Callithrix jacchus: one gene and its partners. The protein of the gene in region 4 purifies or fractionates together with the protein of the main gene of each other region. This does not show direct contact. Links are inferred from orthologs where the notes say so. Each region holds a gene or a part of one and is shown on either strand. Other genes may lie near its edges.

Evidence for each region.
Region 1: the proteins of LATS2 (region 4) and LIMD1 purify together in Homo sapiens (affinity purification with mass spectrometry; 3 studies listed by BioGRID and IntAct, with this or other methods). This does not show direct contact. The link is inferred for Callithrix jacchus from reciprocal best matches to the Homo sapiens genes LATS2 and LIMD1.
Region 2: the proteins of LATS2 (region 4) and SAV1 purify together in Homo sapiens (affinity purification with western blotting; 4 studies listed by BioGRID, with this or other methods). This does not show direct contact. The link is inferred for Callithrix jacchus from reciprocal best matches to the Homo sapiens genes LATS2 and SAV1.
Region 3: the proteins of LATS2 (region 4) and AJUBA purify together in Homo sapiens (affinity purification with western blotting; 3 studies listed by BioGRID and IntAct, with this or other methods). This does not show direct contact. The link is inferred for Callithrix jacchus from reciprocal best matches to the Homo sapiens genes LATS2 and AJUBA.
Region 5: the proteins of LATS2 (region 4) and MOB1A purify together in Homo sapiens (affinity purification with western blotting; 9 studies listed by BioGRID and IntAct, with this or other methods). This does not show direct contact. The link is inferred for Callithrix jacchus from reciprocal best matches to the Homo sapiens genes LATS2 and MOB1A.
Region 6: the proteins of LATS2 (region 4) and AMOTL2 purify together in Homo sapiens (affinity purification with western blotting; 3 studies listed by BioGRID). This does not show direct contact. The link is inferred for Callithrix jacchus from reciprocal best matches to the Homo sapiens genes LATS2 and AMOTL2.

What each region holds. Positions count from the first base shown.
Region 1 is NC_133516.1:28,414,635-28,418,134, forward strand, and holds part of LIMD1 (LIM domain-containing protein 1), read left to right. Parts: intron 1-506; coding exon 507-575; intron 576-2,353; coding exon 2,354-2,491; 3' UTR 2,492-3,500. UniProt on the Homo sapiens protein: Adapter or scaffold protein which participates in the assembly of numerous protein complexes and is involved in several cellular processes such as cell fate determination, cytoskeletal organization, repression of gene transcription, cell-cell adhesion, cell differentiation, proliferation and migration.
Region 2 is NC_133509.1:85,194,396-85,197,895, forward strand, and holds part of SAV1 (protein salvador homolog 1), read right to left. Parts: intron 1,756-3,500; coding exon 1,554-1,755; 3' UTR 1-1,553. UniProt on the Homo sapiens protein: Regulator of STK3/MST2 and STK4/MST1 in the Hippo signaling pathway which plays a pivotal role in organ size control and tumor suppression by restricting proliferation and promoting apoptosis.
Region 3 is NC_133509.1:57,343,856-57,347,355, forward strand, and holds part of AJUBA (LIM domain-containing protein ajuba), read right to left. Parts: intron 2,371-3,500; coding exon 2,269-2,370; intron 1,474-2,268; coding exon 1,402-1,473; intron 631-1,401; coding exon 563-630; intron 437-562; coding exon 374-436; intron 1-373.
Region 4 is NC_133506.1:140,650,144-140,653,643, forward strand, and holds part of LATS2 (serine/threonine-protein kinase LATS2), read right to left. Parts: intron 2,876-3,500; coding exon 2,293-2,875; intron 296-2,292; coding exon 113-295; intron 1-112. UniProt on the Homo sapiens protein: Negative regulator of YAP1 in the Hippo signaling pathway that plays a pivotal role in organ size control and tumor suppression by restricting proliferation and promoting apoptosis.
Region 5 is NC_133515.1:39,019,826-39,023,325, reverse strand, and holds part of MOB1A (MOB kinase activator 1A), read right to left. Parts: intron 951-3,500; coding exon 784-950; intron 1-783. UniProt on the Homo sapiens protein: Activator of LATS1/2 in the Hippo signaling pathway which plays a pivotal role in organ size control and tumor suppression by restricting proliferation and promoting apoptosis.
Region 6 is NC_133518.1:49,808,557-49,812,644, reverse strand, and holds the start of AMOTL2 (angiomotin-like protein 2), read right to left. Parts: upstream 2,801-4,088; 5' UTR 2,678-2,800; intron 2,419-2,677; exon of another isoform or gene 1,933-2,418; intron 1,619-1,932; exon of another isoform or gene 1,577-1,618; intron 1-1,576. UniProt on the Homo sapiens protein: Regulates the translocation of phosphorylated SRC to peripheral cell-matrix adhesion sites. Required for proper architecture of actin filaments.

The DNA of each region.
Region 1 (3,500 bases), on a different chromosome or scaffold from region 4:
GCTATGATGGTGCTACTGCATTCCAGCCTGGGTGACAGAGCAAGACCTTGTCTCAAAGAAACAAACCAATAAAACTGTACCTCACCTCTGAGATAAGTGGTGTCCTCACCCTTCCTTGTTGCCTGGCTTCCCCAACCCAGTACCCTTCTCATGCTGGTTTTTCCCCATAATCAGGTCAAACTCCCTTACTTGATACTAATTCTAAGATTAGCAGATGAGCAGAGAGGCTTGTCTTTACTCATTTTAAAAAATAAATGTCCATGTAAGTCTTTCTTTCATTGTTGACTCTGACATTCCAGAAGGAAGGGCTTCTGTCCCTCCCACTTCCCCTCTCATCAGCTTAAATGTACTCTTTTTCCCACAAGTACTGCTGATTTATAGTCTCCTCCCAGGGCCACCTACCTACTACCCCCAAACCCTCTTCCCTCCCCACGCTGCAGTACATCAAGTCCAACAGGCCCCCTCACAGGCCTCTCCTGCGTGTTCTTGCTTTTCTTTGGTCCCAGGGCTCAGACGAGACCATCCGTGTTGTGTCCATGGACAGAGACTACCACGTGGAGTGTTACCACTGTGAGGTAAGTGCCTCCCCACCCATACCCAGGGCCCATCATAGAAGTCCGAAAGAAAGCATTCTGCACTGACTGGGGCAGGAGGTGGTCAATGAGATTCTGGCAAGTGTCAGCCCTCTAGAGCTGCTGTAGGAAGTGGGGTGAAGGCTGGTTCTTGGAGGAGGTAGGAGATGATGGAAATGCTCAAGGTAGAAAGGTCTTCTGCACGTTCAGAACTATCAAGTCCTGCAGTTGTTGGAGCTGCTCTCCCTGAAGCTGCAGAACTAGGAGGGTCGTGGAAAGCATGGGTTTCAGGCCCTGTATGGAGGCCACATTGTCAGGCAGGTGTGCGATTTGGGGAAGAGACTCCCTCCCCTCCAGCTTGCAGGCTGTTCTATCTGCCAGAAGCCCCTCTCAGCAGAGCCCTGGAAATCATGAAGCCCCTCTTGGAAACAGGCATGACAGCTGAGTGGTGTGTAGGTGGGTGGGGTCCACCTGCCCCTTCCTGCCCTGTGTCCCAACCCAGGATGAAGGAGCACTAGTACCTCATGACTATCAGGAAAGCTAGGGGTCGGCCCTCACCAGCCCTTGTGAAGGGTGACCGTGGAATTTCAGCCACAACTAAGTGAATTTACCCACAGAAGGATATTAGATTCATTTGGTGACTTTGTGGGTAGAGAGAACGGGGTGTCCCTCATATAGAATGGTCCTGCTGCTAACACTGAAGAAATGGGTGGGAATCATTGCTGCTGGGACCTCAGGTGCCCCAGGTCACCACTGCAGGAGAAAAAGGTGAGGACATTTGCTCAACAGGTCTCTCCACATTTTCTAGACCAGTGCTGTCCAAAACAAATATAAGGGGCCAGGCACGATGGCTAATGCCTGTAATCCCAGCACTTTGGGAGGCCAAGGCTGGCGGATCGCTTGAGGTCAGGAGTTCAAGACCAGCCTGGCCAACATGGTGAAACCCCATCTCTAGTAAAAATACAAAAATTAGCTAGGCATGGTGGCACTTATGTAATCCCAGCTACTCAGGAGACTAAGGCAGGAGAATTGCTTGAACCGGGAGGCAGAGATTGCAGTGAGCTGAGAGCACACTACTGCACTCTTGCCTTGGTGACAGAGGGGGACTCTGTCTCAAAAAAACAAAAAAAAATTATAAATGTTATCTTTTGAACATGTAATCAGCATAAAAAATTACCCATGAGATTTTTTTTTTTGTAATTCCACAATTTATTCTTCTAAAAAAAATGAGATACATGTACAGAGCCTGCTGGTTTGTTACGTAAGTATATGTGTGCCATGGTGGTTTGCTATATCTATTGTCCCATCCTCTAGGTTCCCTCCCCTCATTCCTCCCCCCTACAGGCCCTGGTGTGTGTTATTCCCCTCTCTGTGTCAGTGTGTTCTCACTTATGAGTGAGAACATAGTGTTTAGTTTTCTGTTCCTGTGTTGGTTTGCTGAGGATGATGGTGTCCAGCTTCACCCATGTCCCTGGAAGGGACACAATCTCATTCTTTTTCCCCATGAGATATTTTCACATCCTCTTTTTGTCCTAAGTTTTAGGAATCTGGTGTGCGTTTACACTACAGCACATCTTAAGTGGGTCACAGCAAGTGCTGTGTGGCTGTGTCTCCTGTGTTGGACAGGCCTCTACTGGGCAGGAGCTGCGTTTCTGCACCAGTGTTTCCTGCCTGTTCAGAAACACACAGAACCCTCTGCTGATTTTGGGGACTGTGGCCTTCGTGTCAGTCTTGCAGTCTGTTTCGTTTTGCTTCCCCTGGACATGTCTGCCTCTCCCCAGGACTGTGGTCTGGAGCTCAATGATGAAGATGGCCATCGCTGTTATCCGCTGGAGGATCACCTGTTCTGTCACTCCTGCCACGTGAAGAGGCTGGAGAAGAGAACCTCGTCCACAGCCCTTCACCAGCACCACTTCTAGCCAGAGCCTCTTGCAGGCTTCACGGCAGGGGATGAGGAGCCAGGGTTGCTGCTGCTGCTTCTGGTGGCCCCTGGGGTGGAAGTGGGGTAGGGAAAGAGGAGGGGCGGGAGGGAGAGTTCCTGTATGTGTGGGGTGTCTTTCCTTTAACCAGGAAGGTGAACACTACCTGCCTGCTACGTGTATTTTCCAAGTGCTTTTCTCTGTTGCCACATTTTCCTCAGGTTACTCAGGAAAACGCTCCAGATGTGCGTAGCATATGACATAAGGTTACATCATTGCAACAAAGGAATCCTGTCCTCGCTGGGAACATTTCATGCTGCAGAGGGAGAGGTTTTTGTTGAGCTTGTTTCACAATATCCCCTTGAAGGGACAGCTCAGCTGCCAATACATTCAACCCTTTCTCTTCCTTCAGGAAAATACCTATACCCAAATGCCCCTCCCCCCATACATATCGTGACATAATTTAAGGCTTCTTTTCACCCAAGAGCTTTGGTTCTTCTGCAGAATGGCTGCAAATTTCATTGCATTAAGGCAAGAAGGAAGCTCTAATATGTGCTTTGTATCCCAAGAAGAATTTGCTTAGAAAACCAGAGGCAAGATTTCAAATAAGTGAGGCAGGGTTTCCTCCTCAGACACTGACAGCATTCCCTGTGCCCCTGCAAACCCTTATCCTCCTAAAGGCAGCTGAGGCCGGGACAGAAATTTGCCCTGTGTGAGTAAAACATGCTTTGGGAGAAGAACTTGGTGCAGGCACCAGGATTTTTTGTTTTTGTTTTTGCCCACCTGTTTGCGCTGTTTTTCTCTGGCGTTCTCAAGAGTCGGTGACTTAGAGCCACTTCTGCAAGGCAAGTCTCAGGAACCCATGCAGGTACATCGCTTGCACCTGTTTGTAGCTTATTTAATGACGGGCTTTTGGGAAGAACTGCACACATACTGAGAGACAGCTCCATATAGACAAGGAGAGTTTTGTGTGTGTGAGATCTCTAAGCCAGCGTGGGAGGGAGCGCTT
Region 2 (3,500 bases), on a different chromosome or scaffold from region 4:
GAGAAAAATTATGAAGGAAATATGTGGTTTTAAAGTCCTGTGACAAATGCTTAGAAGATTAAAAAGTAATAATATAAAATCAATTTAATGACCAACATTTTTTTTTGAATCCCTGATTGTCATTTTTGGTAGCTCAATCCAGTCTGTCAGAAGGCAGTACGCTATGCTGTCAGGAACTCTCCACTGTCTCATCAGAGCCATGCTAAATGCAGTAACAGCCCTGGCTGAAAATACCAAAGTTGATTTTAGCAACTTTGAGTTTCACACACCTTCCTCAAACAGGCTAGGTACTTATGCTTATATGTACTCCTGAAAGATCAAAATGCCCATCACCCATTCATAATAAAAAGTATTTTCTCGGCCGGGCGCGGTGGCTCAAGCCTGTAATCCCAGCACTTTGGGAGGCCGAGGCGGGTGGATCACGAGGTCAAGAGATCGAGACCAACCTGGTCAACATGGTGAAACCCCGTCTCTACTAAAATACAAAAAATTAGCTGGGCATGGTGGCACGTGCCTGTAATCCCGGCTACTCAGGAGGCTGAGGCAGGAGAATTGCCTGAACCCAGGAGGCGGAGATTGCGGTGAGCCGAGATCGCGCCATTGCACTCCAGCCTGGGTAACAAGAGCGAAACTCCGTCTCAAAAAAAAAAAAAAAAAAAAAAGTATTTTCTCAACATGCTTTAAAAGGCTTCCTTACTTTGTTTTTATTTCTTTCTTTATTTTTTGAGACAAGGACTGGCTCTCTCACCCAGGCTGCAGTGCAAGTGGTACAATCTTGACCCTGCAGCCTCTGCCTCTCGGGCTCAAGCCATCCTCTGACCTCAGCCTCCCAAGTAGCTGAGACTACAGGAATGCACCATCATACCTAGCTAATGTTTTTTTTGTATTTTTTGTAGAGATGGGGTTTCATCATGTTGCCCAGGCTGGTCTCAAACTGGTGAGCTCAAGAGATCCATCCACCTCGGCTTCCCAAAGTGCTGGGATTACAGGTATGAGCCACCATGTCCCCTATCTGGGTCCCTTACTTTGGAGGAGGGAAGACAAACATACATCATATATAAATATTTATCACAATAAGGCTTCAAATCCTATTTTATATTTAAACTACCTCATGGTAATATTTAAACCATCCCTTTCCAGAAAATATTTCACACTAGAGCGGTAAACATTTTTTTTTAAATACTGCAGATTCTTTTTTTTTTTTTTTTTAAAGAAAGGTACTACTGCTATAAGAAGTTAACAAGTGATAATTTCCTATTTAACATTTGTTCATAATGACATTTCCTGCTGCATTTTTTCCATCCAATACCAAAGCAGTTTCCTAATATATAGCACTTGAAAGTGTTTGCCATATTGGCTCTTAAAATGATAGACTAATTTTTCTTGTTCAATAAAAGAAAATTTCTAATAACAAAATACATGTAAAGTTAGAATTTTATAATTTCCACAAAGGAAGCTGTGTTTATTAACCAAAGTACTTGTTTGCTATTTTCTATCTGTGAAAATATTTTAAAGCTCTTATAAAACTTAAATTTTATTTTTAAAAAATCAGCTCAAAAATTTTTTCCATGTTGTTGGGCATACCACTGCTGTCTCTGCTTTCGGTTTTCTAGCTCTGTAAGAAGAGCTTGTCTGTATGCTTCATACATCTTAACAATCTGCTCCAGTTCTTTCATGAAGAGCAACTTTAGCATTCCCTGGTATGTATCCAGGTCAGCCAGCTGGAAGAGTTCCCACTTCAGAATGTGGTCATATCTGTTTTAAAACACAAGCATATATATGTTCACAACACATACATAAACATCTATTTCTAGCAAGAAACTAGTCTGTTTTTTAAAATGTCAACTTTATTTATAACTAAACAAACCATAAGCTTTAATTAAAAATAACTGAGTAGCTGGGCACAGTGGTGGCACCTGTAGTCCTAGCTACTTGGGAGGATGACGTGGGAGGATTGCTGTGCCTAAGAGTTTGAGGCCAGCCTGGGCAACATAGCAAGACCCCATTTCTAAAAATAAATACATCAGTTTTTCTAAAAAACTGAGTTAACTGCTATTTACATATAATTTTTTTTTTAGGGAAAGGAGAAAACTGCTAATATTACTTCATTTCAATTTAAGTTAAAGAATATCTATTTCTTTAAATTATCAATTATTCTAATATTAACACTAGATAACCATCAACACAGATTTCACACTACAGTGTTTCTGTAATTTCTGAAGAACATATTGTGTGCTCTTTATAAGTTCATCAAAAGTTATTTGTCAGGAACTTAAGAATACTTTAGACCACACTGTGCCTGTAAATGATAATGTACAAAAATGGGTGGTCCATTCATGTTGATGGATCTTTCTGAGGAATGCTATTTGCAACAGCAAACAAGGAACAAGACAGAAGAAGAAATGAAGAGGAAGCATCATTTGTGGCCTCTAAGTACTCCTGAGGCTGAGTACAACAGGAAAACTCAAGAAGGAAAGAATAAACTGTTTTTAAAATGAGAGACTAAGCAGACTGTAGAAGGCTTCACAGTGTAGTGAAGGATTCCCAAATGTATCGTAGAAGACCATTAGTAGTCTTTCAGTGGTAAGTAGATCGCTGCATAGCAATAGTACCTTTAGTAGTTGCCTACACAGTCCCATTTCAGTATAGGATGAAGACAGCACTCTAATTCATATTCTCATTTAAAGATGAAAAACACCAAAACCTAAAGAAGCTCTTTACCTCTTGCAAAAGTGTTTAGTGAATAAAAGTTCAGAAAGGCAGAGAACTTGGACCAACATGATTCAAAGTAGTGGTTTTGAATGTTAATATCCACTAAGACTAAAGAACTTGAATTAGGGAAAGGCAAGTTGTACCTGAAGTTATACCTCTCAAATCATATTGCAGAGCAGATATAATAGGAAGCTTTGATTGCAAACTCTAGTATTATTTATTATTACTTTTTTTTTTGAGAGAGAGAGAGTCTCGCTCTGTCACCAGGCACCAGGCTGGAATGCAGTGGCGCAATCTCGGCTCACTGCACCCTCCACCTCCCAGGTTCAAGCAATTCTCCTGCCTCAGCCTACAGGCGCACGCCACCATGCCCAGCTAATTTTTTTGTATTTTTAGTACAGACAGGGTTTTACCATGTTGGCCAGGATGGTCTCAATCTGTTGACCTCGTGATCTGCCTGCCTCGGCCTCCCAAAGTGCTGGGATTACAGGCTTGAGCCACTGTGCCTGGCCGATTCTAGTATTATTTTTAATGATCATTTATAATATTTCCTACCCAGTGGTTCTTTGATATTTATCATACCATTTTCTTTCAAAAGGACTATCTAATAATTTTAAATGAGATTTTTAAAAAAGGGAGACACTGGCTCAAGAGTCCTGATTTTAAAAAAAAGGAAAAAAACAAACAAAAAAAGGAGACAGAAAACATACTGAGCAGTTAGTGGGAGCTACTATACTTGGCATTTTGACATGTTTCTCTCCTACTTAAGCATATGTAACAGAAATGTC
Region 3 (3,500 bases), on a different chromosome or scaffold from region 4:
GGCACTAGAATCGCTTGAACCTGGGAGGTGGAGGTTGCAGTGAATTGAGATCATGCCACTTACATGTCAGAGTGAGATGCTGTCTCAAAAAAAAAAAAAAAAAAAGATGCAAGACCCCACACTCCTAGCTCAGGCTGGAAGGCCTGGCTGTGCCTGCAGAATTAGGGAGGCGCCAGGTCACAGAAGCCTGGGACGACAAACTTTGGAGCCCAGACTTGATCCCAAAGGCAGAGGAAAGCCATGGTAAACAGTTGCTCTGGGGAGGAATGGGATGAAAGCCTTCTTCCCTTAACCTTCTCTCAGTATCCATTTAGTCCCTGATTCTACTCCTCAGCTGCACAGTGAGAGTCTCAGCTGAAGGCACTTTACTTACCTTCTCCAAAATCAAGTGACCACAGACACAGCATTTCTCAGCTGCCTCCTGAAACCCTGAAAACTAAAGTAAAAGACAAGACAAAGGGAGGCTGTTATCAAACTGAGGATGATGGGTGGAACTCCAATAGGCCACCAAGAAGGGAGTCAGGATGGAAACCAATTCCAGGTCCAGGTGACCCTTACTCACCAGATAATCTTCCTCACAGTACACAGAGCCATTGACACTGTAGAAAGCCTTGCAACGCAAAGTTCGTCCTAGAAACAGCAGAGAAGGGGCTGGAACCTATCCCACAGCCCAGGTGCAAGACCTCTCCCACTCTGGAGTCACTGCTCCTCAATGCTGCATAATATTTTTCAACCTGGACTTTGTGCCTGTCCTCCTAACTGATGTCTGTCCTTCCCCACACAAAAATTCCATCTGATGCAATTCCAATTTGCTTTGGCTTCATTCCAGCCAACTTCCCCTCTCCTCCCGCTCCTGCCTCCTCAACAGTTTCCTAGGGCCCTCCCCTAACAACCCTCCCCTAAACAAACTGCCTTCCTCTCCAGTGCATAGGAAGCCACCTGGGAGAGTGAAGCCAACCACATGCTGAAATACATGATAAAGGAGCTCTTAATAAGGTGCTATATGATTTGCATAGAGAGAATCACATTGTTACAGGCCTTGCCCTCTGGGATCCTTCAACCTAGAAGACTCTTTGCCTAAGCATATCTAACCTGATCTCAGAGCCCTATTTCCTTCCACGGACAGACTCCACGGAGGTGAGGACTGGAGTTACTGCAGGAGGACAAAGTGCTTGGTTTGGAAGCAAAGCAGGTCCCCTTTCCTGTTTGTATGAGGTTGCTTCCCTAAGCCTGGAGGGACCCAAAGTCTCTGGGGTAAGAGGCAACACAAGATCTTCTTCTAGCAGACAAGGCAGGACCATTCCCCATGTGACCAACACCCAGGAACTGCTCCCAGGTGTCTAAATTGTCAGGGATGGGGGAGGAGTGAGAGAACAGGTGGAGCATGAGCAATTTTCCCACCTTTTTGCCTTCTTCCCATCAAAATCCCCACCTTCAGCTGTGTCCAGTGGGTTAGGAAAGCTGACTTAGATGCTCATGAGACACAGGGGTGGAAAGAGAGGGAAAGAGATATAGTTAGAAGAGGTTCTATAAACAGAAGGGTAGACAGAGATGAGCCTAAAAACCAGGCAGAAACTGGGGGAGTGAGAAAAGCGGAGTGCTGGAGTCAGACAGGCAGATAGGAGATTAAAGGTTTAGCAAAGGAATCAGAATGGGTAAGCGGTGGGGAGGGGGTAATGAGGGAGGTGAGGGGGGGCAGTTAAGGCTGCTGGGAGCATCTCCCCTTCCCAAATGGGCCTCCAGAGCTAACAGTGGCAGGCATTCCTGGAGCGTGATGTCATCAGCTTGGCATGGCCCGGTGGCCTGCACTCTAGCGAGGTGGCTGAACTCTGACCAGCCAAGAGAAAACCCCCCTCTCCGCCCCCGACAGCTCCCCACTCCCCCAGCCTGCCCCCGCCCTCTCTACATTCCAGTCTTTCACGGTCGCCCCAGGCAACTTGGCTGCCCAAGACCAAGCCCCACCAAGAAGCTGGAGGGCCAGGCAAGTCCAGGATGGGCAAGCAGGGAAGCATGAGGGAGAAACAGAGGTGAGGAAGGAAGGAGGGACTCCAGAAAGGAGACCCACCATGGGGCAGAGAGAGCCAGGTAGAGCATAAACAGGGAAGCAAGAGGCAGAGCAGTTTCGGACCTCTAGATACTTGGTGGGGATCCAACAGCTGCTCGGTGAGCAAATGAAGAGGCACAAGCTCTCCCCCTGTTCCCCATAGCACTTGTAAGTGTGTACATGGGCAAGGGAGGGGGGTGCTTGAGTGTTGGGGCTACACTTACCACAAGAGCAGCAGACAAAGCACTGGGTGTGGTAAAGGCTGTCCAGGGCCTGGCAGGCATTGCTCTGCCCATAGATGCCTTTGTTGCACTTGATACAGGTGCCTGAGAAGAGAAAAGAGCATCACACTGTACTCCCCCAGGTCAAAACCAGGAATTCCCAAGCTTTCCTCACTACTCTTTCCTGATGTGCCAAGGGTCACAATCTCCCTTTGATGGGCTCCCTTCTGAGAAGAGAAGATAACAGGTAATGAAATACAGCAAGATCTTGGCTGAGCAGATCCACTTTTGTTTAATTACTCAACAGATACAACACCACTACCTGAGGAAACCTGGAGAAAGTTGAAGATATGGTCCCTGGCATTTAAATGCTTAGTTTCTGTTGGGGAGAAAAGACCACAAAGGCAAGGTATGATCTCTGCTGCAGTGTGTGGGACAAATGGTCAGAAATGCTGGCCCACAGCAGACTTGAAAAAACTTTCTAGAGAAAGCAGGCTAGGCCCAGAAGGCCTCTCTGGGACTTCAGTTTTTCCCATCAGTCAGACAAGCTGCTGTTCGGTTACAGAATGATTTCTCTCTGCTGCAGACTTCCAAGGATGGAGAAAAGGACCTGGCTCAGCAGAGGGCTCTGTGCAGAGAACCATGTGAGCATGACTCCTGTGGGGAGGTGGCTGCTGAGAATGCAGGGTGTGTTCCAGGAACCAGCATTGCACAGGAAAAGGGGGAGAGTGGCAAAGCCCCTGATGCCTCCCAGCCACCTTCTATCATTCGAGGAGCACAGAACTGAACTGCTTGCTCTTCCCCAAAATCCCCCGCTAAGATACATACACCTGGCTCTGGCACTCGCCTTTCTTGGGTGTGTTCTTCCCTCCCTCCACTCCCCAATTCCAGGCCCATGAGTGAGGGCTAGGGCCTGTCTTTGGGGAGCAGATCCCAACGGGCCCGCCCCACCTCTCCCCCTCGGCAGGCTGCCACACTCCTTGCCTGTTGGGGCCCATCCCAGTCTTTGCCCAGGGGCTTGGGAGCCTGTGCAGCAGCTGCAGCAACTGATGGGCCCAGGCCTGTCCTGCTCCCACCCTCTGGCAGCTGCGCAAGGCTGAAGCCAAGGAAGAGGGCCCCTACTCGGGGCAGGAAAAGGAGGGTACAGTCAAGCTGGGGCTGGGGGACACAAGGGGTATGTTGGGGTTCTGTCAAAGGAAGCAACCTAACCCCCAGGGAGAAGGAGCCCCCATCTC
Region 4 (3,500 bases):
CAAAAGTATGACTGGAAGCATTAGGCGCTTGGATAGCTAGAGCTGGGAGACTCGGCTCACAGGTCTGAAGGGAAGCAGACCTCCCATGGGGTGGCTGGTGTGGCACACATACCTTTGCGGAGGAGCACCTCAGGTGCGATGTAGTTTGGGGTTCCCACCAGGGAATGTGCCAAGCATCTCTGGTGCTGCTTCCGCGCCCTCTGCTCCAGGGTCTTCAGCCTGTCCCCACACCGACAGTTAGACACGTCGTCCCAGAGGTCACTGGGCTCCATGCTGTCCTGTCTGACATGGTTCCCTTCACCCAAGAATCAGGGGTGGTAAAAGAAGAGAACAAAACATAAAGTGAATTTTCACTCTTCAATACCTCAACAAATCAACAGCTTAAAACAGAAAAGTCGTTCCAATTAGCTCCTGACACATCAGGACAGAGAATCCCCCAAGCTGCTCTGTAGAGGAAGCCTGCTGTTCCTAGTTCAGAGACATACGTGGTAAGGTCAGCGCTAGCACTGAGGTAGAAACTACGGCGAGGAACCACAGGAAACCACACATCGTGCTGAGCTAGCAGGGAGGTACTGCAGGCAGGAAACGCTGGAAGAACTGCCGGGACAGCACCCCTAGCACTCAGGCCACAATCAAAAGGTAACATCTGCCTGACACACATTTTACGATGAGCATGGAAACCTTAGGAAGATTTAAACAACAAGAACAAAGGTGACTTCAATGCCAAAAAATAGGAGTGAATTAAATGATTTAGAGTTGGTTTTCAGTTAGGAAAAAAAAGGCTAAGTGATGATATTCAAATAACTATTTCAAGAATCGAGCCACAAAGAAGATAATAACCAGCTGTTTTTGGCTTTTCCAAATGGCAGAATTACAGGAAATGAAGTTAAATGATAAACACTACACAGATTCAGGTTAGCTATAAAAGAGGACTCCTTGGGAGGCTGTGGATCTTATCTTTTTATGTATGTATGTATGTATTTATTTATTTTTTAAATTTTTTAATTTTTTTTTTTTAGTAGAGACAGGGTTTCACCATGTTGACCAGGATGGTCTCGATCTCTTAACTCGTGATCTATCCGCCTCGGCCTCCCAAAGTGCTGGGTTACAGGGTATTTATTTATTTATTCGAGACAGCATTTCACTCTTGTTGCCCAGGCTGGAGGGCAATGGCACGATCTCGGCTCACCGCAACCTCCGCCTTCCGGATTCAAGCAGTTTTCCTGCCTCAGCCTCCTAAGGCATGTGCCTTGACACCCGGGTACTTTTGTATTTTTAGTAGAGACAGGGTTTCTCTGTGTTGGTCAGGCTGGTCTTGAACTCCCGACCTCAGGTGATATGCCTGCCTTGGCCTCTCAAAGTTCTGGGATTATAGGTGTGAGCCACCACGCCTAGCTGAATCTTTTATTTTTTAAGGCTTCCTTTAATGAGGCAGATGATGGTTCCCCACAAAGGCTCTGTGACACCTTGTAGCCTATCGTCTTAAAAATACAGTAGGCGGACACAGTGACCGAGGTGGGCAGATCACCTGAGGTCAAGAGTTCGAGACCAGCCTAACCAACATGGGAGAAACACCATCTCTAATAAAAATACAAAATCAGGCCGGGCGTGGTGGCTCACGCCTATAATCCCAGCACTTTGGGAGGCTGAGGCAGGTGGATCACGAGGTCAAGAGATCGAGACCATCCTGGTCAACAAGGTGAAACCCCGTCTCTACTAAAAATACAAAAATTAGCTGGGCATGGTGGCGTGTGCCTGTAGTCCCAGCTACTAGGGAGGCTGAGGCAGGAGAATTGCTTGAACCCAGGAGGTGGAGGTTGCGGTGAGCCAAGATCGTGCCATTGCACTCCAGTCTGGGTAACAACAGCGAAACTCTGCCTCAAAAATAAATAAATATAAAAATACAAAATTAGCTGGGTGTGGTGGTGCATGCCTGTAATTCCAGCTACTCAGGAGGCTGAGGCAGGAGAATCACTTGAACCCAGGAGGCAGAGGTTGCAGTGAGCCGAGATAGCGCCACTGCACTCCAGCCTGGGCAACAAGAGCAAAACTCCATCTCAAAAAAAAAAAAAAAAAAAAAAAAAAAAGGAAACCTGAAATCTACTAACTTAAACAAATGTATATATCATACTATTCCTTTGGGAAGGGAAGGACGTCACACCAAATTATAATAGTGGAGTGACAGATAATTTCAAAATGACTAGGAACTATCAGCATGGGAAATTTAGTTGCCTGCGATGGGTTAGTGACATCTACACATAGGAAGTACATGTGGCACGCTTAAGACAATACCTTTCTGGTAATATTTGGAATTGTGAGTCCACCTGAACCCAGTGCAGAGGCCGAAATCTGTGAGTTTAATGTGACCATCCAGATCTATCAAAATGTTGTCAGGCTTGATGTCTCGGTGGATGAAGCCCATCTTGTGGACACTCTCAATGGCCAAAGTCAGCTCTGCGATATAGAACCTGGCCAGGTGCTCAGGGAAGACCTCCATCCGGATCAGCAGGCTCATCATATCCCCGCCAGGGATGTAGTCCATCACAAAGTACAGGCTGTCTTTGTCTTGGAAGGAGTAGTAGAGTTTCACTACCCACTCGTTGTCTGCCTCAGCCAGGATGTCCCTCTCGGCCTTGACGTGGGCCACCTGATTACGGTTCAGGACATCCTTCTTCCTCAGGGTCTTCATGGCGTACAGCGCATGAGTGTCCACCTTACAAGCAAGGCACACTTCCCCAAAGGCTCCGATGCCCAGGGTTTTGATTTTCACAAACATAGACTTGTCCATCTTGGCCCTCTTTAGCCTGTTGTAATTAGACTCTTTCTGGTAGAGGATCTTCCGCATCTGTTCCTGCTCAGCTTCACAGAGTCCAGCCTGTGTAGAAGGCAAAGAAGAAGGAAGATTCATATTAGAGAAGTCCCATGATAACAAATGACTGGGATGGGGATGTCCTGGAACTGAGAGGAAACTAACTCATTTTATAGAAAGGAGAACAGAGAAATATGGGTCTCATGTACTACAAAGAAAGGTAATGACTGGTTTTGTTTCGTTTTTGAGATGGCATCTCACTCTGTTGCCCAGGCTGGAGTGTAGTGGCATAATCTTAGCTCACTGCATTCTCCCTCCCAGGTTCCAGTGATTCGCCTGTCTCAGCCTCCCAAGTAGCTGCAACTATATGTGCACACCACCACACCCGGCTAATTTTTTTGCTGTTGTTGTTTTGCTTTGAGGTCTCCCCGTCACCCAGGCTGGAGTGCAATGGTGTGACCTTGGCTCACTGCAACCTCTGCCCCCCAGGTTCAAGCAATTCTCCTGCCTCAGTCTCCGGAGTAGCTGGGATTACAGGTACGTACCACCATGCCTGGCTAATTTTTTGTATCTTTACTACAGACGGGGTTTCACCATGTTAGCTGGCTGGTCTCGAACTCCTGACCTTGTGATACACCTGCCTCAGCCTCCCAAAGTACTGGGATTACATGCATGAGCCACCGTGCCCGGC
Region 5 (3,500 bases), on a different chromosome or scaffold from region 4:
CTTAAAATAATCAAGGTGGCATACAGATGTAGCATAACTGGTCACAAATTGATATTTGCTGGAGCTGGATAATGGAATGAATACTTGGAATTCACTGTACTTAAGTCTCTCTACTTCTGTATGTTTGAAATTTTCCATTAAAAAGTTTTAAACGTTCCCGGAACAGCTGAAATTCCTAATTTAAACTTTATCACCCAGAAATGATCTCATCTCAAAAATGAGAGACTCTCACATGCAAATTTCTAGCCTTAGCATATTGTCCCATGTCATGCCTTCGTTCTCTTGAACTCAAAGTGACTTTCAGCTCAGATCCCTCCATTTTCTCCCAATCTCTCAATTCCCTCTGACACTCTAAGTCACAACTATCAACTGACTGGCCATATGAACTGCAACTGACTTTTCTGGATATACAGGCTGATGAGTACTGCTGGGAGTGGAAGAAAAACTGTATAGACGGATTCACTACAAAGTCACAGACCATGACATGCATAATCTTTTCATTTATCAATCTTTATTTGACCATACTCAGCTTTTCATACTACTCTCCTCAGAAACTGCCCAAAAGCACTCATCATTTCTTCTCAGGTCCCTCTAGTCAACCTTACAAGCTACCACCAAGTACTCTGAAAAGAACAACATAGTTTTGGATATATTTGTACTTAATGTTTCTTTACAGATAATCTGTTATATTAAACCAGTTATCTCTGTCAAAGAAAATTCATTAACCAAGAGATTTTAGCAAAACCTTTCTGTAAAACAGCAAAGTTGCATTTTAAAACTTACTGTTTACAGCAATCCATTCATTGAGATCCTCTCCCTCAGGCAACATAACAGCTTGTCTCAGATTCCCACTTCCTAGAGTTGCTTCTGCATGTTTTAGGAGTTCATACTGATGAGATCCTTCAGGGATATTCTTCTTTGGTTTGAATGTTTTAGAAGAGCGGCTGCTGCTGTAAGGTTAAAAGTGAAAGCATGTGACTTTTTAAGACTGGAAATACAACAGGTAGAACAACATAATTTTAGACATATAAAGTGGTCTGTTAAAATAAAATAAAAAATACTATCTGGGCCAGGCACAGTGGCTCATGCCTATAATCTCAGCACTTTGTGATCACCTGAGGTAAGGAGTTCAAGACAAGCCTGAACAACATGACGAAAGCTGTCTCTACTAAAAATACAAAAATTAGCTGAGTATGGTGGCGCATGCCTGTAGTCTCAGCTACTCGGGGGACTGAGACAGGTGAATCACTTGAACCCAGGAGGCAGAGGCTGCAGTGAGCCGAGATCGCGCCACCGCACTCCAGCCTGTGAAACACAGCGAGACTCTGTCTCAAAAAAAAAAAAAGAAACAAAAAAGCATACGCTCTGAAAAATGCCAAGATAGGAAGATGATGATCACAATAAAAGAATGCTTTTTTTTCCCCTGCACATAAAAGCAAGATTACCAGCACAATTTCACAAATAAGGCAATTTCACTATACCCTCTGAAGAAGTCTGGTACAGAGAGGGTAGTTTAACCAAAGGAAAATCTGAGATTTAGTTGTTGATCTGACACCAACTATGTCTTCTTGAGAAGCTAAACCTTCTTTTGGCCTCAATTTCCGTTTTTTTTGTTTGAGATGAAGTCTTACTCTGTCACCCAGGCTGGAAGGTAGTGATGTGATCCTGGCTCACTGCAACCTTCACCTCCAGGATTCAAGCAATTCTCCTGCCTCAGCCTCCCAAGTAGCTGGAATTATAGGAGCCACCACCACGCCCAGCTAATTATTATTATTATTTTTTTAAGTGGACATGGGATAGTGCCATGTTGACCAGGCTGGTCTTGAACTCCTGACTTCAAGTGCTCCACCTGCCTCAGCCTCCCAAAATGCTGGAATTACAGGCATGAGCTACTGTGCCTGGCCTCAATTTTCACCTATAGAAAATGGTGGTGCCAAGTGCAGTGAGAGGCTCGCACCTGTAATCCCAGCAGTTTGAGAGACCACGTTGGGATGATTGGTTGAGCCCAGGAGTTCAAGACTAGCCAGGACAACATAGCAAGGCTTCATGAGGGATGGGAGAGATAGAAAGAAAATGGTGCAGGGAGGTTTAATTCAAAAATCCAGTTTTCTATATTAAAATATTTGGGATGCCTTGAAAGCAAACCACAGTAAAAGAAACACTAACATCTTTAAGTTTATAACTGGGAAAATAAATGAGACAGCCATAATTCATTACTGAGGAAAAAAATATTTTTATTCCTATCTGACACCATCCATAAAGTCTTCCTAACATGACACAAAACTCAGAAACCTCAAAGAAAAAAATTGACAGATTTCAAACAGTATCAATTAAAACTTCCATAACAGAGCAAAAAGACAAGTAACCAAAAAAAGGTACTTGTAACATATATTACAAAGGATGAACCGGTAATAGAGGGCTTCTATAACTCACTAAAAATATAAGGAATCCTTTGGAAAAATAGGCTAAGGAGATGAATACGCAATTCAGTAAAAGTATGACAATCAATGAGCATGTAAAAAACTGTTCAGTTAAAGTAAGATTTATTTTTTCCCTAATCTGAGTGGCAAAAGTTAAAATGATTACATTAAATGTGGAATAGGGCAGGGGCTTCTAACCCCAGAGCCACAGACCAGGCCCCACAAATGTGGGTGAGCAGTGAGCAAGCAGCAAAGCCTCACCCATATTTACAGCCACTCCCCATTGCTGTCATTACCACCTAAGCTCCACCTCCTGTCTCACAGGAGTGTGAACCCTATTGTGAACTGTGCATGCAAGGGATCTAAACTACATGTGTTTTATGAGAATCTAATGCCTGATGATCTGTCACTCTCTCCCATTACCCCCAGATGGGACCATCTAGTTGCTCAGAGTTCCCACTGATTCTACATTATGGTGACTTGTGTAATTATTCATTATATATTACAATGTAATAGAAATAAAGTGCACACTCAGTGTAATGCATTTGAATCATCCGGAAACCATCCCCCCAACCAGATCTGTGAAAAACTGTCTTCCACGAAACCGGTCCCTGGTGCCAAAAATGTTGGAGACTGCTGGAAGTGGGTACAGAGAAGCTAGTACTTTAATATACTATTGGTGAAAGTATAAAGTATAACCTTTGGGAGGGCAATATGGTAGTATCTATTAACACTGAAAAGATCCTCAAGCCACCCATTCTACTTCTAAAAATCTTCTCTAGATATGGATAAGGATTTGTTTTCCAGAATTGTTTTTAATAGTGAAAAACCTCCAAGGAATCCTAAAGCTTATCAGTAAAGGATTAAAGAAAATCCCAGCTGAGGTGGGCAGATGATGAGGTCAGGAGATAGAGACCATCCTGGCCAACAGGGTGAAACCCTGTCTCTACTAAAAATATTTTTTAAAAAATTTGCTGGGTGTGGTGGCACAAGCCTGTAATCCCAGCTACTCTAGAGGCTGAGGCAGGAGAATCACTTGAACCCAGGAGGCAGAGGTTGCAGTGAGTCAAGAGCTTGCCA
Region 6 (4,088 bases), on a different chromosome or scaffold from region 4:
GCTTACTATTCCTGGAGAAAGACATAAGAAAACCAGAAGATAATCCACCAGGAACCACTGCCTCTATAGCCACCTACCCATCAAACAGCCTGATGAGCAATTCCAAGGCAGGCCTAGTTCAGATCTAACCACTTAGCTATTCAGTCTAGGGCTGGGTGGGGACCCAGTTTATTGGCAGGTGATACAGAAGGCATGTAGTCCAGTAGAAGCCCTAGGTGAAAGTCCTCCAGGACCCCCCCCAGAATGAAGCATGCCAGAGCCCAGCCCTGGCACAGTCAACCTACTACCCTCTAGCCCACTGAACCCCTGCCCACTTTTCTCACTCTCCCAGAACCAAAGAGCTCCTGGGGGGTGGGCCTGGGCTCTGCTTCATCAAGGGCTGCTGACAGAATGAATCCAGGACTCCCTGTCATGGGATGACCTTGGCAGTCATTCTGCAAGGTGAACAGGAAGGAGGAGGAATTGCACCTGAATTTCTGAATAAGGGATGAATAAAAAGGCTCGACAATGGTTTTGTGAGATGAGGCAGAAAGTTGCCACCCATTAAGGTCAGTGGGTCAGTCTTAGAGCTGACGGTAACTGCAAGAGAGCTCCAGGAAAAAGAAAGGATGGCACGACGTCTTTTATGATTATCCTCCCCAACACACACACATGCACGCACACACGCTACTTGGAAAAGCCCTCACTGGTCCTCTAAGCAAACAGAGGATGGGCTTTCAGCATCTTTCTTGACATCAGTGTCAAGGAAGATCATCTGGACTTGGGCTTTCTCCAACACAAATCTCCAAACTGGGATCCAGGGAAAACTAAACGGACTCCATACTGCCAAACATCCTGTGTGAACAGGCAGGGGTTGGTGGGGAGTGGGAGGAATGTGGCCCCTCCTCTGCCACAAAACTAGCCCGTGTCCTGCTTCAGTTTGGGTTATGGTATGTTGGCAGAACAGCCATTCCCAATCCTTTCCCTCTCCCCACCCCGGGCTCCAGCTGCCCAGAGCTGGGGACTGGGGTATGAGTCTGGAGGGCACCTCTGTACCAATCCTTCCTGGCACCCATTCATGCGCCCCCACACACAACGAGGGGTAGATATTGCAAGACTCCGGCGCTACCCGAGGCAAAGCAAGCAAACGGGATTTAATTCGCTCTGGAGTTTTATCTCGGGGCATTTCCTTAAGATAATTACTCTCTGGCCGACTCCCACAGAGGCTGCAAGGGAGCGGCCGGAAGGAATGCGGAGCCTTCCCGACAGATTCCGGGCGCTCCACAGTGTGCGGGGACTGGGAGCAAGGAACATCTCCAAGGCCTCGCGAATTTGTCCCGGCCAAGCCCCTCAGATTCACGACCTTTCAAATACCAAACGACCGAGCCTTAACTAAAACCTGCTTCCGCGCCCCCGGCCGCGCCCCTCTGCTGCGCTAGCGCGCTGAGCTCTCTGAAGGCTGCCTGTCTAAGCCAGCGCGCGTCGGCTGCCTTGGCCTGGGCTCCAGCTCGCCTAAGGAACCAAAGTGACAGTCTCCAAGCCGGGAGACTCTCGCACCCCAGCCAGGACTCCAGCTCCACCACGACCCCGGGCGGACCTGGATCGCCGGTGGTCGCGGGTACGCCTGGGGCTAGCCGGTGAGGGTAGCCCGTGGCCCGGAGAAGTCTTTAAGCATCGCGGGTCCGCCTCCCTCCCTCTCGAGCCCTCTTTGTTTTCCAAATACTCCAGCGCTGACGTCACCGGGCTGGACAGCAGGCTGCATTCTTTCTAGGTGAGAGCCAATTCGTGTCTCCAGAGAGGATTTTCCAAGGAAGACAAAGAGGAATTCTTGGACTAGTTGGAGGCAAAGGCACCTGTAACCCCCACCTAACCAAATCAACCCGCGAGACCCTGCAAATTGAACCCCAAGCGGCGCCTCCAGGCCTGTCCCCCGTCACCCCCACCCCGGCCTACCTGCAACCCGAAACACCGTCGCCTCTATAGAGTCTGCCCTCTCCGCTCTCCCCCAGCCCCGGGGGACCGGCGCGCTGCTAGAGCCCCGCAAAGCCAGGGGCGCTGGGCTCCCAGGCGGAGCGGCCCTTGCCTGGCACTGCGGCTGCCTCGAACGGGCGCACTACGCCCGGAGTACGCTCGATCCTCCGGGCTCCGACTCCCGGAAAAGGCCGGGCTGCGCCGAGACTCCGGCTTTGGCCGGGGCACGTCTCTGTGGCCTCGCGCGCTCTCCCCAGCGCCAAGCGGCCTTCCTTACCGCTGCGGCCCGCGGGTGCCCAGCACAGTCAGACACTGCAACCCCCGGCTCGGCCCTGCTCAGCTCGGCGGCGGAGATGTATTCTCGGCAGTGGCGCCGACGCTCTGGCAGTTCGCGCCCCAGCGCGCAGCCCCAGGGTCGGTCCGCGCTGGAGGCGGCTGTTATGCCAGGAATGTGAGAGTTTCAGGTTCCCCCTCGGGATCAAAGCGAACCACAAATAACCTCTCAGCGCGCCGCCCTCCTCCGCCCTCCGCCTCCTCCAGCTCCCTCCTCCCGTCCCCCGCCTTCCTCCCGGGAGGCGGCGCTGCTGGCTGAGCGCCGGGCCGGCCCCTGAGCTCCGTTCCTCCGCACTCAGCGCCCTCCAGGCCGCAGTGTGTCCGCCCCTGCCCCCCGCTTTGCGATCGGAGCTGCTGGAGACAATTTAATACAACTCGGCCCATTATTGCTTACACCCCTAGTCGCCGACCCGCTCTCCACCCTTCATCCCGAAACCCATCGACGGAACGATACAGCAAGGGCTGTGCCACGCTTGTCCCGGGGTTGCTGCGGGAGAGGCTCCGGCTGTGCGTGTGTGTGTAAACCGGGGGAGGGGGTAAGGGAAGAAGGACCGCAAAGACGTCTATATCCTCAGGGCTGGGAGCTTGTCCCGGGAGAAGTGAATACTTCCAGCCTCCGAGCCTCTCTTTCCCCTAACCCCCAGTGCTTTCACCCCCGCGGCAACCTTTGAATTGCACTTTTGTTTACAAACACCTTCACCAGCTCTTTTACGAACCTTCTCCACAGGAAGCGTGAATCTGTGTTGGAAAATCCTGTCAATTTGATCCATCTACCCAACCGAATCTCCCGCCGCCAGGCGCTCTGTCCACCTCTTCCCCAAGATAATAGGCGCCCCTTTACGCAGAGCGCAGGGTGTGCCACCGCCGGCTTTTCTCCCAGTCAAGCGATCCAGCCTTGCCTAGCATCCTCCAACGGAGTTCTGTTATCATCCCTGTGTTATAAATGAGGACACCAGGGCTCAGAGAGCTTAAGCAGGGTGCCCAGAGTCACACAGAAAGAACCAGACAACCAACCAGGGGCTGCTTGGGTTTTCATTCTCAAAACCCCTCCGTTGCCATCAGAATCCGGGCTCCCTAGATGGACTGGGCAGACGCCAGGAACCTTCCTCTTTCCACCTGCCCGCTCCTTGTTTTAGTCTCTTCTTTACCTCCCCCTACACCCCTGCCAGCCAGCGGCCTTCCCTTGTATCCACTTCTGTGGCTCCTGCATGGAATCTTCTTCTCTGCCCCCAGGACACTTCGTCTGCTAGGTGCAAACCCCTTCTTCAGAAAGCCTTCACTGACACACCCTGTCCCAGTTCCCACTACACAGGGCCTCTCTACAAGTCAGTTGGGCTGAAGTGGGGGCAGTCAGGCCCCTGTCCACCCAGAGAGTCAGGGCTGATTTCTTCTTCCCCTGGCTGGGTCCTCCCCTCAGCATGGAGTTTGCAATTCCCAAATTCACCGGAGGGAACCAGGGACAAGGAAACTCTGGAAGCTTAATAGCCAGGGACATTGTTAATTTTTAATAAAACTCCCACAAAAAGTGTGTGTGTGTTTTACTTGGAAGCCAAATACTGTTTCAAATAGTGATTGCATCTGAGATGATTGAGCAAATGGGTCATTTGTGAAGAGGTCTCTGGGTGGCCTTACCTTATGGACAGTGTAATTGGTGGAGGAGGGGAATGGTTGTGGACATGTGTACTCTGGGTTGTAAAATCTCGGGAAAGATCACGTCTTTCAGGCATTTGGGGGGATACCTCACAACATGTTTGACAAATATTCTTGAGATGGTTGCAGAAAGGCATCAGTTCAAGGCAGCTAGA